Linked DNA regions of Saccharomyces cerevisiae S288C. Changing the gene in region 4 together with the main gene of any one other region gives a genetic interaction. Each region holds a gene or a part of one and is shown on either strand. Other genes may lie near its edges.

The links.
Region 1: of RHO1 (region 4) and ROM1, a mutation in one rescues a mutant of the other (synthetic rescue), as found in Saccharomyces cerevisiae (2 studies listed by BioGRID, with this or other methods).
Region 2: of RHO1 (region 4) and MID2, extra expression of one rescues a mutant of the other (dosage rescue), as found in Saccharomyces cerevisiae (4 studies listed by BioGRID).
Region 3: of RHO1 (region 4) and STE4, extra expression of one rescues a mutant of the other (dosage rescue), as found in Saccharomyces cerevisiae (2 studies listed by BioGRID).

Annotation. Positions count from the first base shown.
Region 1 is NC_001139.9:625,967-631,806, reverse strand, and holds ROM1 (Rho family guanine nucleotide exchange factor ROM1), read right to left. Parts: upstream 4,002-5,840; coding exon 534-4,001; downstream 1-533. Other genes in the region: ENV11 (Env11p), read left to right, coding at 1-326; ART5 (Art5p), read left to right, coding at 4,723-5,840. UniProt on the Saccharomyces cerevisiae protein: Stimulates the exchange of RHO1 GDP-bound form into GTP-bound form.
Region 2 is NC_001144.5:788,687-792,477, forward strand, and holds MID2 (Mid2p), read left to right. Parts: upstream 1-1,989; coding exon 1,990-3,120; downstream 3,121-3,791. Other genes in the region: CHS5 (Chs5p), read left to right, coding at 1-993; JIP3 (Jip3p), read right to left, coding at 1,983-2,360.
Region 3 is NC_001147.6:741,116-744,794, forward strand, and holds STE4 (G protein subunit beta), read left to right. Parts: upstream 1-1,794; coding exon 1,795-3,066; downstream 3,067-3,679. Other genes in the region: dynamin-related GTPase MGM1, read right to left, coding at 1-454; SAS5 (Sas5p), read right to left, coding at 3,420-3,679. UniProt on the Saccharomyces cerevisiae protein: Implicated in the a- and alpha-factor response pathway. The beta and gamma chains of the putative yeast mating response pathway G protein play a positive role in initiation of the mating response.
Region 4 is NC_001148.4:873,683-876,523, reverse strand, and holds RHO1 (Rho family GTPase RHO1), read right to left. Parts: upstream 1,157-2,841; coding exon 527-1,156; downstream 1-526. Other genes in the region: mitochondrial 37S ribosomal protein uS14m MRP2, read left to right, coding at 1-242; MMS1 (Mms1p), read right to left, coding at 1,598-2,841. UniProt on the Saccharomyces cerevisiae protein: Acts as a central regulator in the cell wall integrity signaling pathway, which is regulated by the cell cycle and in response to various types of cell wall stress.

The DNA.
Region 1 (5,840 bases), on a different chromosome or scaffold from region 4:
AGTTATCTGAGGAAAACGACTCTAACTCGGGGGAATGGTGCCTAAATCCCATGGAAGAGACATTTGATATTCATATTCCTATCTCGGATTCAATTTGGAATAATTACATAAGCAGTAAAAACAAGATTGAAGTAATCGATATTTTACTTCAGTTGCTTTCAGTAAATTCGACATCTTCAATACGGTCAGAATTATCTTCTCTAACAGCTAATCAAGACTTCAGTACCAAGTTGAGTGAGGAAACAATTAAAATCAAACTTTTGAATTCACAGTTTAATCTCGAAAAAATTAATTTTCACTCTGGATCAATTTTCGATGCTTGCTAGTGACATAATATTCCAAAGGAAAGGACAATATACTTTCAAGACTTTATTTTCTAGGACAAAATTCTTGTCCATTGTATTATATTTTCTTAATGGCACCCATATATTTCAGGTAAACTACATATGGTTATACAAATAAAATAATATTACTTAAATTTAGATGTATAGGTTCAAGAAATAAGTTTTAAGGTATTAATATGGGCGGTCAACTCAAAAATTTAACAGTTCGATAATTTCAAATCCTTGAGGATCCTCATAACAATATAAGATCTTCTTGGCATATGATTTTAACATACGTATCTTGTTTCCAAGTACACAGCGGACAAGTTCTCCATTTTCTATATGTCTAATTTCAATAAAGTTACTATTAATTGCCACAATATAAGGGTAGGAACACGCGAACTGTTCTGGTTCCCCCTCCCAATGAAAACATCCCTTTGTCTCCTCCCTCTTCCCTTGCTTATTGAGAAAAAAGCAGAGTTCTGGAAAACATGCAAAAGTTGAATTTTTTATCGGAAACATGGAAACTACTTTGAACGTCTCTTTATACATGTTCGCTAAAACTTTGTTATCATGTAGATTTAAAAGCTCCCTCATTTTAAATCCATTTTTATCACACACTTCCGGTACGTTTAATATTTTGATATTTTTTTTACAACCAATGCAGATCTTATTCTCCAAAAAAGAAAAGGACAGAGGTTCAGAATCAACGCTAAAATCTACCAAGCCTGCCTTTAGGTTTTTTTTAAAATTACCGCTATTAAAATCAAATATCAAAGGATTAACAATCAATAATTGTACGGCGTGCAAAAAATGATGTGCAATCATAATGATTCTTTTACCATTACAGAAACCGTCTTTGAACATTGCAACATATTTAAATAACACTTTAGAATTTTTTCTGAAAAGAAAATCTGCATTTTCTGCATCGTCGATTACGTCTAAAGGACAGCCGTACAGTTTTTTGTCAATTAGAAGAATCATAACTTTATATTCTTCCAATACAGAGATCTGTGAAATTGATATTTTGTGCAGAAGGTGCACTGGTTTTTGATTGATCGATGTAGCATAATTAAGAACAAAGAGTCCCATATTTGTTGCAACCAATAAAATTTTACCAGCATGACAGATTAGGACATCGTTGACGCGATTAGTATTTATGTATGAGTGAAAGAATTGACCTACCATTTGCTTAAAAGTAATATGTTTAGTTTCATCAAGGAGCCTTTTTTGCTCTTGTTTCACCTTTTCTATTAATGTCTGTAATCCGGCCGGCTGCGGCGCGTACAAAGTAACTTGATATTGTTGTTTCGTACCGTAATAGGCGAATACAATAGCATTCTTGGGATTGCTCGTTTGATATTGGGGTAAGAGCACACCCGCTGAGCAATTTGGGTTTTCTGTCACATATCTTTTTATGGGTGGCATATCCTCAGCCGGACAAATAAACAGTAAAGGGAGTGGAATTGGTCTCTGAAATACAGTGTGTTGGTGCCACTTGTTTACAGCTTTTGATTTCAAGAATAATAGCATATTGTCGAGTAGGTAAAATTGAATGTCTCCTGAAAAGGACGCATCTGTTTTGTTCACGTCCTTCCTTGAGAGTAAACCTTCATGCTTGATTTTCCTTTTTTCGTTATTCAAACCCAGATTAACGTATTCATTTTTGAATAGAATTTTCTGCTTTAACACTTTAACGTCATAACGATCTTGTGCTGCACCGCTTGCTCTATCAATCCTTTTCATTAGATCCTTTAAAAGATCTTGGACTTTCATTAGCATTTGTAGATCATCTTTGTCTGTTACTGGGTCCGAGAAGTGTATTATTTCTCTTACCAACAGTGAATATCTACCAGGTCTTGAAACACCCTGAGATAGGAATGAATCGATCCCATGCCTCAGGGAAGAATTAGACACTTCATCGTCAAAACGAGCAAAATTGGGATTAACTGATCTTTGGGTTTCAATTAGATACTTTGCGTATGGTCTTGATGCTATGTATGACAGAAAAGGATCAAAGAAAGGAAGATACTGCAAAAATATATCTGCAATTCCAGGACAAATTGGGCTTAATGATTGCCTTTGTGCTAAAGCCTTCAAAAATTCTCTATTGACAGAATATATTTCATTGATATGTGCGAAAACGTGCTTTACAAAATTTATCCTTACATCAGATGGAATAATATTCGTTTCTAATAATTTCTTCATGAAAGTATCTCGGATGATTTCCAAAGATTTTACAAACTTCTTTTCTGTAGTAAACAACTCATATATTGCCTCCTGCCTTTTGATTTGTTGTTTGGATAATGATTCCCATACGCTCTTTGGTACAGAATTTGTCCAGGAAATTCGTTCATCATCCTCCTTATCGAGTGCTAACGAAATATTTCTCTTAAGACCACCACCTAATTTTAAATGTAAATTAGCCTGTTGTTGCAAACGATTGGGGCAAGAAATAGAGTAGCAAAGTTTTTCCAGAGAGCATGTAGAGGAATAACAATGTGTCAATGGGACAAAAACACCATATATTTCAGTTTTAGTACGGAGCGAATTAACTGAAGAAGATGATGAAGAAAATGTGTTGGCAATTGAAGTAGAACTCTGCGACTGATGTGCCATAAAAATTGATTCTGAAGATAACTCGTAAATCTCCAGTACAGAATCTCTTACGCCATGGTCATAAAGTACGTCATGGAACAATTTTTGAGCTTCCAGCGATTTTCCGATCAACATGCCCAAATTACGATCTAAGCTTCCTATGATCAAGCATAAAGTATCAATTGCTTGTTTTCCTGTAAAGGAATCTCTGTAAAGTAACCCCATCTTTTTATGCGTGCTCAATTTGATGGTCTGTTTGAATTTAATTGCTATTAGTGATAAAAGTGCAGGATAAACCAAAGGCGTGCCTTTGATCATGGATATTTCCGTCAGAGAGACAGGACTTGATTTGGACCTTGAATGATGACGTTGGTGTTGATTAGTATGGCGTCGATATTGACTAGAATGATTGGAAGAGTTTGATGAGCGTCTATTTTGGGTTTTCAGTGACTCTAATGCAAATAAAGAAGAGGTGCTAGAAGAACTATGTTTTCCATTGAATGAACTGTGTAACTCCATCGTGTGACCTGCACTTTTGGGAGTTGGAGGCGTAGATAGCTGGTTTGGATCCCCCATATGACTGCCACTGTTTTTGGAAAATGATAATAGTGAAGGAGATGAATGTTTTCTTACGTGAGGAAGCAAAACATTCGATCTTTTTTGAGAAGGTGATGAAGTGGTAGTGCAACTGTTACCTTTATCTTGTCTGGTCGAATCATTTATTGAAATTTTTTTATTAGTAGGTGAAATCTGATCGCCTGTGAAGGATTGTGGACTTGAATTAAGGTTTGTTGAAATATGTAGGACAGGAGATGCCTTTAATTGGTGGGAAGAACAGTCCGGTGCTATCCTATACCGTGCACCGGTGTCGTGCCCTAGTGTATAATCCTTCAATGAAGCCTTATTTTCATCTTCAGTACTATCTTCATCCTCATCGTTAGTGATAGAAATTTCATTGATGTTTGTCTGAACTTTGGAGCCGGAGAACAACTGAGTAGGGGTTGAAGTATCTGATTTTCTTTTCTTACCGAATATCTCATAAAAATATTTATTTCTTAGATCCAGTTCATTACTATTCATAACCTAACCAAATTCTTACCAACGACTTGGTTTTATTTATATCATTACTAAATCAACAAAATTTTTGCTTTAAAATTCAAACGTGGCGTTCTTTTTTTTGATTTAGTTTTATTTATTTACTTTTTCATTCAAGAGCAAAGAAAAGTTTAAAATTAACGATTCTCCCTTGGGCCCCTTATGATATGTCTAAATATTGCCGTTTTAGGGCAAAAAAGATGAAGTGCGTTTACTTTCGTATAGAGTTTGTAGATATGACATTGGCAACAAAAAATCATGGGAAATTTAAGAAACATACAAACGTATGCGTGAAAAAAAAATCGACACTAGACGCACTAGGTGGTGCTTAATTGGAGTACTGGAGCGCTCCTTTAGATACAAGATGACAATTTATTGAAGATCGAGTAGGGGACGGATTACTCCCACATTAAACAGCAGGTCTTTCTTATTATAAGGAATACAAAAACAATTGAAGTAAAATGTTAGATCTAAAAATGTTTCTTTGTCTTGCTTTGTATGTATGTAATAATATACTCCTGAATACTTCACTTCGTCTTTTACAATTCTAAAAAGGCAGTTTCTTCGAAAACTGAAAAAAAAAAAAAAAAAAAAAAAAAAAAAAGAAATAGAAGGAAAATGAAACAGATGATTAGGATGAGTATAAGATGGCAAAAGTAAAAAATATCTTGTACAGCTCTCGGCGAGAATAGGGTGAAGCAAGACCATGTTTTCACTTAGTTCGCTATCTAGCAGCGGTGGGCATTCAGAGCAGAAGGAAAGAGAGAGAATAAGTTATTTTGATATTAGAATAAACTCCCCGTACAAGGACATAATTTTGATCCAAGGGTCACCGTTGGAACTGTCGTCTATACCTTTATCAGGAAACTTAGTGATTTCAGTGAAAAATGAGATCGTAGTGAAGAAAATTTCGCTGAGATTGGTAGGAAGATTCAAATTGGAGTTTTTGCAAGTTGGCCGATATAAGAAGAATAGCAGTAGTTTGGCAAGTCTAGTTAAGGAAAAGCGTAAGATTTTCGAATGCTATTGGGACAACTTATTGGTTTCTTCAAAAGGGGATGTTTTAGTCGGTGGGGAAAATGCGGAAAATCAACATAACAGTAGTAGCGGTCGCAGTACAAGCAACCAAGATATGGACACCAGCGGCAACGCAATATTTCTAAGCAAGAGATCACTTTCGAGCCCTGTTTTCAACAAAATAATTCGAAGAAAGACCCATTCTTCCCACAGAAAAATACTAGAGCTACCAGAAAATGGTGTTACAGGAACCCCTTTCGAGGGTTTAAGAGAAAACGCCCGTAGTAGAAGCAGTAGTAGTAACACCCTCAATAACAATAGCCATAGTTATAGTAACAGAGACGGGTCTGGAAGTTCGTACTTATTCCTAATGAAAAGAGGCAACTACGAACTACCCTTCAATACAATGCTCCCCCCAGAAGTGTGCGAAACAATCGAGGGACTACAAAGTGGTAGCATACTGTATTCCTTTGAAGCCATTATAGATGGACGTCAGTTATGGGATACTGATCTGAGCGTTCATACTTCTCCTCACGGTCCAATCGGTAGCACAAGTACGAGCGGCAATGGTATGAGAACGAAGAATAAAATTATCATCAAAAAGTTCAAGTATCTCAGAATCCTTCGTACATTATCGATGGACAATCTTGCCATGCAAGAAGAAATTAGCGTGGGTAATACTTGGCGTGACAAGTTGCAATACGAAACGTCCATCCCGAGTAGGGCTGTTCCTATTGGTAGCACAACCCCCGTGAAGATTAAGATTTTCCCCTTCGAAAAGAACATTCGTTTGGATAGGATAGAAAT
Region 2 (3,791 bases), on a different chromosome or scaffold from region 4:
GATCCATTGCATGCTTCGACGGCTTTGGAGAATGAAACCACCATCGAAACCGTCAACCCCTCCGTAAGAAGTTTGAAAAGCGAACCTGTTGGTACTCCCAATATAGAGGAAAACAAAGCGGACTCTTCCGCAGAAGCCGTGGTAGAAGAACCGAATGAAGCTGTGGCTGAAAGTTCTCCAAATGAAGAAGCAACGGGACAGAAAAGTGAGGATACCGATACACATTCTAACGAACAAGCTGATAATGGATTTGTACAGACTGAAGAAGTAGCTGAAAACAACATAACCACAGAAAGTGCAGGGGAAAATAACGAACCTGCAGATGATGCAGCAATGGAATTTGGACGTCCAGAAGCTGAAATTGAAACTCCAGAAGTAAATGAGTCTATAGAAGATGCCAATGAACCTGCGGAGGATTCCAATGAACCTGTGGAGGATTCCAACAAACCTGTGAAGGATTCCAACAAACCTGTGGAGGATTCCAACAAACCTGTGGAGGATTCCAACAAACCTGTGGAGGATTCCAACAAACCTGTGGAGGATGCCAATGAACCTGTGGAAGATACCAGTGAACCTGTGGAGGATGCCGGTGAACCCGTACAAGAAACCAACGAGTTTACTACCGACATTGCCTCTCCAAGACATCAAGAAGAAGATATAGAACTTGAAGCCGAACCTAAAGATGCTACCGAAAGTGTTGCAGTCGAGCCATCCAATGAAGATGTAAAACCAGAAGAAAAAGGTTCAGAGGCAGAAGACGATATCAACAACGTTTCCAAGGAGGCTGCCTCTGGTGAGAGTACTACCCACCAAAAAACTGAGGCCTCTGCTTCTCTTGAAAGCAGTGCCGTCACGGAAGAACAAGAGACAACGGAAGCCGAAGTAAATACAGATGACGTTTTGTCCACTAAAGAAGCTAAAAAAAATACTGGCAACAGCAACAGTAATAAGAAGAAGAATAAGAAGAATAAGAAGAAAGGGAAAAAGAAATGATTAATGGATGCCTTCAATGAGTTCCACGACGCACGTTTATTTTTTCGACTGAGAATCCCTCAGCAAATATAATCTATTTTTTATATATCTGTGTATATGTAAGCATGTATAACTAGTTACAAATATGATAACTGCTTTGGCGATCACTTCATTTTCTTGAGAGGGGTACTCAGTAGCCGCCAAGCACGAAATGTCCGTTATTAAAAATTGGGGAGTGAATCTTAAAAGCCCGAAAAGGAAATTCAAAATCTGTCTATTTATAGGCCGTCGCGCTCTACGAAAACGCGAAATTATTCAAACGGAAAACGGAAAAAAATCTAAAAAAAGAAATTAATTGAGAGATCTCACGGAAATGCCGCGAGGAATGTTTCTCGAGGCTGAGCGGCGTGGTCTGTGCAAAAAAATGGCAATTTTTTTGTAGGAGTTTGCATTGGGCCATTCAGAAGGAGCACCGTTAGATGGGATGGTAAATGAATTTGCTGTTTCAGATTTGAATCAATCTTTACCCGTTATTTTTGCCGTTTTGCTTTCATAATCTGCAAATTAACAAAGTCATAAAGAACATAAAGACATCACCCCAGTTTTTACACTCTTTTTTCCTGTGTTTGGTTTAGCACAACTTTCCAATAACCAAGTTGGTTTCAGATCATCCCCATATTATTTTCTAGTTTCATTTACTTACCAAACTCACCATTCAAGGCTTTCAAATTAAGTTACGAGTACAGTGGACCATTTTTTTCTGATTCTTCATATTTTCCGTTATAAGTCTTATAAGGAAGGTATACATTTATATTGCGAATTTGAAAAATAATTTAAAGCTGACTTTGCGTTTTAGGTAGGCTAGAAAAGAATACAACTATCCCTAAACACATTCTAGATTCACGAAGACGCCTCTGCCTCAAAGACATACTATATTTTTACTCTCGTTGAACAAATAGTACCATTATTTCGCTACTTTCGTTGAAGATTGGACATATAAAATACGCAAATCATAGTATGTTGTCTTTCACAACCAAGAATAGTTTCCGCTTATTACTTTTAATACTGTCATGCATATCGACGATACGCGCACAATTTTTCGTGCAATCATCATCTTCGAATTCTTCAGCAGTATCTACTGCACGTTCTTCCGTAAGTAGAGTTAGTTCTTCAAGTTCCATTTTGTCATCCAGTATGGTTTCTTCCTCAAGTGCTGACTCATCTTCCCTTACTTCATCGACATCAAGTAGGTCCCTCGTGTCACATACGAGTTCGTCTACCAGCATTGCCTCCATATCGTTCACATCATTCAGTTTCTCATCAGATTCAAGCACCAGCAGCTCTTCCTCTGCTTCTTCAGATTCTTCATCCTCCTCATCCTTTTCCATCTCTTCGACATCCGCAACTTCTGAATCATCGACGTCTTCTACGCAAACGTCAACATCATCTTCATCCTCACTGTCGTCAACGCCGTCCTCTTCATCATCCCCATCAACAATCACTTCTGCACCTTCAACCTCCTCCACACCATCCACTACTGCCTATAATCAAGGAAGCACTATCACCAGTATTATTAACGGTAAGACGATTCTCTCAAATCATTATACTACCGTTACGTACACACCATCAGCAACCGCTGATTCAAGCAATAAATCCAAAAGTTCGGGTCTTTCTAAAAAAAATAGAAACATCGTCATTGGTTGTGTGGTTGGTATTGGTGTACCACTGATTCTGGTGATACTGGCTTTAATTTACATGTTTTGTATCCAATCATCAAGGACGGACTTTATTGACTCAGATGGTAAGGTCGTTACGGCATATAGAGCTAACAAATTTACGAAATGGTGGTATATGCTTTTGGGTAAGAAAGTTAGTGATGAATACCACTCCGATTCACCATTAGGTGGTAGTGCATCGTCCGCAGGTGGTTTAGACCTAGATGAAGCAGATGATGTGATGGAGCAAAGCTCCCTTTTCGACGTCAGAATAAGAGATAGCGATAGCGTATTACCAAACGCCAACACCGCCGACCATAATAATACCAATAGCGGTGGAGAGCCTATAAATAGTAGCGTTGCGTCAAATGACATAATAGAAGAAAAATTCTATGATGAACAAGGTAACGAATTATCACCACGAAATTATTAATCATATCCATTCATATCATTTAGTGCTTATGGCTACTTTTCATTCCTCAATTATTGTAAATTGACCATCTTAATTATATTTCTGATATTGAGTAGGTGGACTTCATTAGTATTTTTACAAATATTATCACCTTCTTATGTAGGATTAGCATTACATACCCTCTAATTAAAAAAAGTTAACATTAATTACATTTTAAAAAAAATTGTAATAGTATGATAGTAGGACCTGACAGCCATTTGAATAAGGTTTCGAGTGCTTTAACGTTCCACTGATTTTATGTAGTTCATATGGGGGTTAGTCTGGTTTGAGGAGGAGAATTTCAGGGAAGCAGTGGCCGTTGAATCTCCCTGTAGGGCGCTGATTATTTTTATCCTAATAATCCAAAAATGACAATGTCAATAAAGAAAACTTACCGAGTTCTGTGAATTTCTCCCTAAAAAATTACTAATTATACCTGGGCGAGTTTTGAACTCTTTGGCAAATAAACTTGGGGTAAACCTTTCGATTATAAAGACGTTACTGCTCAAAAATGTGTAGAAGCATAAGGAGATATTCTCTCGTATGTTTAATTGGAGTTGGCTTTTTTGGACTCTGAAGTTTGAGTATGGGAGGGGAAGTAATCGAGATTAGATTCCCTGATGTTCACATATGGGGATAAAGAATGCTTTTTG
Region 3 (3,679 bases), on a different chromosome or scaffold from region 4:
CGTCATCGTCGAGTGATGTAGCGGCTATTAGAGTAGCAGTTGGCACCGTTCCATCGTTTCCATGACCACCGTCTTGTGACTTATCACCGGAAAACATTTTATTAAACTTTTCCTTCATCGATTCACCTAAATCCTTGATTCGATCTAGTTTGTCCTTAGTAAAAGAGCTAGCTTCTTCCATCTTATAAGCTATATAACTCCCTGCAGCAGCCATCCCGCCACCCACATATATGGGTAACCTAATAATTTTAGATATAATTTTAGGAAAATGTGATATCGATCTCCTGGTGATAACAAAACTCAAAGCATTGGCATGTGCTGATCTGTGAACATTGCTCATGCGGCTGTGTAAGTGCACCAACGGACTTTTGATGTAAGGAGAGCTATATAGTATCGCCGGATGCGTAGCAAGCTGTCTTCTCAGAATTAAAAGCCGTACTGGGCTCGCATTCATCCTTACTAATGTGTTATAGTTCGCCACTCTTGGGATGGCCCTTAATGAAGTAGAATTACTCATGCTTTCAGAGTATTATGGTGAATATGCGAGGCTATATTATAAGTACGAAAAGAATGGAAAAGCCTAAGAATAAAATGATATCTGTACTACCCAAAAAGAGGCTTTTTCGTGTTCTCCCGTTAACTGGTGTGAACCTTCCTAGCTGATTATGTCTTGCCTTTCAATAGAACGCTACTATTTTGTTTTTAACGGTACAAGGAAATATTAACAACTTGCATATTGATCATCGAATACGAAGCGCTGAATGAGGGTTAATTTCATAGTAAATCTTTCATGGACAGAAATATTTGAAATATATTTCCTCAAAGAGTACACTAGATCCATTCATATTTTAGGCTTCCTATGGAAACCGTTTTTTCAAGGATAAACCCCGCCATATGTTCTTTGCGAAGTCTTTTGCAGTTAAAACTAATTACAACTCTGTTATTTACTGACACCTGCGTTAAAATTTTATCACAATATGTCATCCGCTGAGAGAGATGTACTATTTATAATTACTTAAGAGCGACTACTTCATTTACCATTAGCGAGCAGAAGAACAGCTTACTTGTCGATGTTCTTCTCTGGCTAAATGAAATGTCAATTATTGAGATTGAGATGGGTATGTATGATCGGATTTTGATATCAGCCGATGAGACGAAGATTCAATAGCTTCAACCGTCCCTGCGGGGGGTACTTACCTTTTGTAACCAGTACCCTGTGCAAATTCTCGGCGTGTACTACCTCTTTTGGGACCACAACCCTTTGTACGCACTTTCGTCAGATGCAAATTTTTACACGCGTTGAAAAATGTTTCAGGAAGAGATACTGCGTAAAAAAAAGACACATGTGTTACGCAGGAAAAAGTTTGTGAGGCTTTTTGCCTTAACAGATTGACTTGTAGCCCTGTTAGGTTTACCCAACAGTTGTTTTTCTGTGTGTCGAAAATTTTTTCAGATTGTTTTCAACTGACACTTGCCTGTTTCATATTAGTTGTAACTTAAACTTTCAAACATAAAACTTTTTTGGAAGTCCATCCTTCACATGACTTGAATCCCTTCAATATCGAAACAGTATCCTCAAAATCTCTTATCACTTTTCTAATTGTTTTCTTCCCCTTTTTGTAGTAACTCGCTGTAAAGCACATTTTATTCATAATCTCCTTTGTGCCAGAACTCAAGGTCAATAGGCCAGAATTATTGGAAGGAAAGAGGGAAGAAAATACGATATTGCTAGTTCATTAAGTCAAGGAAGAAAATACTCAAAAAACTGTACAGCTCAATCAGGTACACATTACGATGGCAGCACATCAGATGGACTCGATAACGTATTCTAATAATGTCACCCAACAGTATATACAACCACAAAGTCTACAGGATATCTCTGCAGTGGAGGATGAAATTCAAAATAAAATAGAGGCCGCCAGACAAGAGAGTAAACAGCTTCATGCTCAAATAAATAAAGCAAAACACAAGATACAAGATGCAAGCTTATTCCAGATGGCCAACAAAGTTACTTCGTTGACCAAAAATAAGATCAACTTAAAGCCAAATATCGTGTTGAAAGGCCATAATAATAAAATCTCAGATTTTCGGTGGAGTCGAGATTCAAAACGTATTTTGAGTGCAAGTCAAGATGGCTTTATGCTTATATGGGACAGTGCTTCAGGTTTAAAACAGAACGCTATTCCATTAGATTCTCAATGGGTTCTTTCCTGCGCTATTTCGCCATCGAGTACTTTGGTAGCAAGCGCAGGATTAAACAATAACTGTACCATTTATAGAGTTTCGAAAGAAAACAGAGTAGCGCAAAACGTTGCGTCAATTTTCAAAGGACATACTTGCTATATTTCTGACATTGAATTTACAGATAACGCACATATATTGACAGCAAGTGGGGATATGACATGTGCCTTGTGGGATATACCGAAAGCAAAGAGGGTGAGAGAATATTCTGACCATTTAGGTGATGTTTTGGCATTAGCTATTCCTGAAGAGCCAAACTCAGAAAATTCTTCGAACACATTCGCTAGCTGTGGATCAGACGGGTATACTTACATATGGGATAGCAGATCTCCGTCCGCTGTACAAAGCTTTTACGTTAACGATAGTGATATTAATGCACTTCGTTTTTTCAAAGACGGGATGTCGATTGTTGCAGGAAGTGACAATGGTGCGATAAATATGTATGATTTAAGGTCGGACTGTTCTATTGCTACTTTTTCTCTTTTTCGAGGTTATGAAGAACGTACCCCTACCCCTACTTATATGGCAGCTAACATGGAGTACAATACCGCGCAATCGCCACAAACTTTAAAATCAACAAGCTCAAGCTATCTAGACAACCAAGGCGTTGTTTCTTTAGATTTTAGTGCATCTGGAAGATTGATGTACTCATGCTATACAGACATTGGTTGTGTTGTGTGGGATGTATTAAAAGGAGAGATTGTTGGAAAATTAGAAGGTCATGGTGGCAGAGTCACTGGTGTGCGCTCGAGTCCAGATGGGTTAGCTGTATGTACAGGTTCATGGGACTCAACCATGAAAATATGGTCTCCAGGTTATCAATAGCTTCGAATTGGAAATACTGTGAGCAGTAATTATCAATGGATGCTATTATATAAATATACATACCTACACCCATCCCATATTTACATAGAATAACAACAGTAACATTAGTTCTGTGGAAGCGCAAAAACGTCCTTTAATAAAGTAAGTCAAAACATTCAACAATGAAAATTCAAAGCATTGTCATTTGCTTCCTTTTTCTCTTTGGATAAACGAAACAAAAACGAACAAAAGTGTCATGCACTCAAAAATTCTTTTCAATCGTTTTGGAAACAGTATTATTCACTGACTTATTTGACCAACTTGCTAGAATCATCTATGTTTTCAGGCATTGTTTAATTTCATGATGGCTGTCCCTACTTTAGCTTGTTATGAGCCTTCACTGGCTCGTCCTTATGTATTGCGTCTGACCCAAAATTTGTCCTTTCTTGTTTAGTGGAATTTTTGTTCGGTAATTTCAAAAATGCCTGAATTTTCATTAACAAATCATCTGGTAGTTGTGTTATAAACATAAAAAACTGCTCCCTTCTGGGATGATTTTCAATTGCTCTCTGTACTGCAGGATCATTCAATATCATCTGAACCACGTCCGTCATCATATCCTCATCTATAAGCG
Region 4 (2,841 bases):
TCCTTGTTAAATCTTTGAAATTCATCGCTAGAAATATGAACCTTCCAACAAAACTGAGGTTGGAGGCTCAGTTAAAACTAAATGCATTGCCAAACTACATGAGATCTACGCAGATCAAAAATAGGTGCGTGGACTCTGGACATGCAAGATTTGTTCTAAGTGATTTTAGGTTGTGTAGGTATCAATTTAGAGAAAACGCTCTGAAGGGTAATTTGCCAGGTGTTAAGAAGGGTATTTGGTAAAAAATTTTATCGCGAAAGTATATATATATATATATATAGGATACGCACTTGTAAATAAATACATGATAATTTTTATTCTTCTTTAATAGATGATAATACTTACTGAGCAATACACTTATATGTAGAGAAGAATAAGATTATACACATACTGGGAGAAAAACAAGTAGCTATAGTTAGAGCTAAAATAACAAAAAAAGGCATACGTACATACAATGAGAAAAGGAATGGGATTGAAAAAGGGCAGTATCTGCCACTAAGTTAACGACTGAGAGATCGAGACACTCCTATAACAAGACACACTTCTTCTTCTTCTTTTCAGTAGTGTTCTTCTTAGCTTTACCATTCGTTTTAGATTTACCCATCAATGAAGCTCTAGTGGCGGCCTCAAACACTTCTCTGACACCATAACCAGTCTTGGCCGAACATTCGTAGTATCCGGTTGCGCCAATCTGGTCTGCTACAGATTGTCCCTCCTGTGATGTAACGGGTTGTTGACCTTCTTGTCTTAATTGTTCAATGGTTTGTGGGTCGTTTCTCAAATCCACTTTACAACCAACAAGAATAATTGGCACACCTTGACAGAAATGTAATACTTCGGCAATCCATTTTTCTTGTACATTCTCTAAAGAATCTGGAAGATCGATAGAGAAACAAATTAATACGACATTGGAGTCTGGGTATGACAATGGTCTTAGTCTATCATAATCTTCTTGACCAGCGGTATCCCATAGCGCTAGCTCTACACGACGCCCATCAACTTCAACATCTGCTACATAGTTTTCAAAGACAGTTGGTACGTAGACTTCTGGAAATTGGCCCTTGGAAAAGACGATTAATAAACATGTCTTACCACAGGCACCATCACCAACGATTACCAGCTTTCTTCTGATACTGTTACCAACTTGTTGTGACATCTTTCTAGTATAATTTTTAAAGTTCTATGATTTTCTATTAGTGCAACAATAAACCTCTAACAGCGATTCTTTTGTTTTATTAATTTTGTTCCTTTTTTGAGTTTTGTAACTTTAAGTTTGGGTTGTTCCAAAAATGTTTTTGCAATACTCAGAGGAATGATCGATGGTCGAAACGATATTAAAGACGAATTCCTGCTGGTAAAATAAATATATACGATTAGGATAAAGAAGTATTTGTATCAACTACTAAAACATGTAGTACCCAATACAAATCAAACAAAAATTGTATAATCTGTTTATTTTTTTTTCTGAGGCGAAGCAAATTGGAAACAACAAGAATTCTTGTATCTTTTTTTAGCCCCTTGTCACGCTGCACGACGCGTAGCACATTGATCGAGAATCACGATTTTATCAGCGACAATGTTATTGGAAATGAGGGAATTATACTGTGTTCTTGCAGTTATCGCTAAGGTTCCATAACCCAACCTCACAGATGAGGTCAGATTTAACTATTGACCTTCTTGAAACCAAATAGCCAGAATTCCATCTTGGTTCGTATTCGTCCTGGCAAGGCAACCTGTCCTTGCCGAATTTGTGAATTGTTTGATCTGCCATTAGCACATATAAAGTTTGTACTGCGGGATCGTAACTAATATCTTGAATAGGCTTGTCCAATGCTACCGCATTATAGGGAGATAGTCTTTTAGTTCTCATTGCAGTGCTTCCTAATATAGAACTTATATCCTCAAAATAACGGGATGATACATGATCCTCATATACTATAGTGGCGGCTCGGCGTAGTGAAGGTTTTGGTGTAGAAGAGTGGTTTCGCCAAAAGAGTAGTAAATTTCTACGCTGCCTTAGGGCAACCTCTGCTTCGTCATTCTCCGACCGTATGCCTTCGCTGTAACGATTTACGTGCCTCTCACCATGTAAAACATCATACAAAGCCATAGTGCCAAATTGAAATCCTTCAGGAAAGTCAACCTCGAATATGTCGTCGACTCTCCCATTCCCATATTCATCTGGTAGGCTGCCTGTTTCGTTATTAAGCCCAACTTTGATGGTGGGTAAAGAGTAAAAAATTAATCTTGAATCTAAATCGTTCCTATTTCCACAGTAAGCGGCAACAACAAAGCAGCATTCATTTAATGGTATTATCTTTTGAACTTTTGAATCAGGATACATTTCCAAGGGATACACCCTTCTCGATTCGTCAGATGATGAAGAGAAATCCTTAATCAAGTAGAGCTTTTCGCCCATATTTGTGGTAGCAATGATATTATCGCCTACTACAGTAAACGTCTTAACTGTACTCCAACTCTTAAATGTAAACCGGGTTTCCAAAGTGAGCCGCAAAGTCGTATTATTTCTCTCCTCCTGGTCAATGCAATGTTTTGTGACTTTCAACTTGTTAAAGGACATTTCGTTATCGGTGCCCATAACTTTATAATCCAGAAAGAATATTTCACCTCTGGGAGTAATGACCAAATGATTGAGGAGTCTTGAATTGTCAAGTTTATACGAATCTATTATTTGATTGGAAATTTTGTTTTTTGCAGCAGTTAATAAAACTAGTTTTAATGAGCTAGTAAAAGAGATCAATAATACAGTTTTCTTTTCTAAAGGATTGTCCTCTGTTGCTATTGGTAATTCCTTTATTTCTAGGATTTCTTCAGAATCAT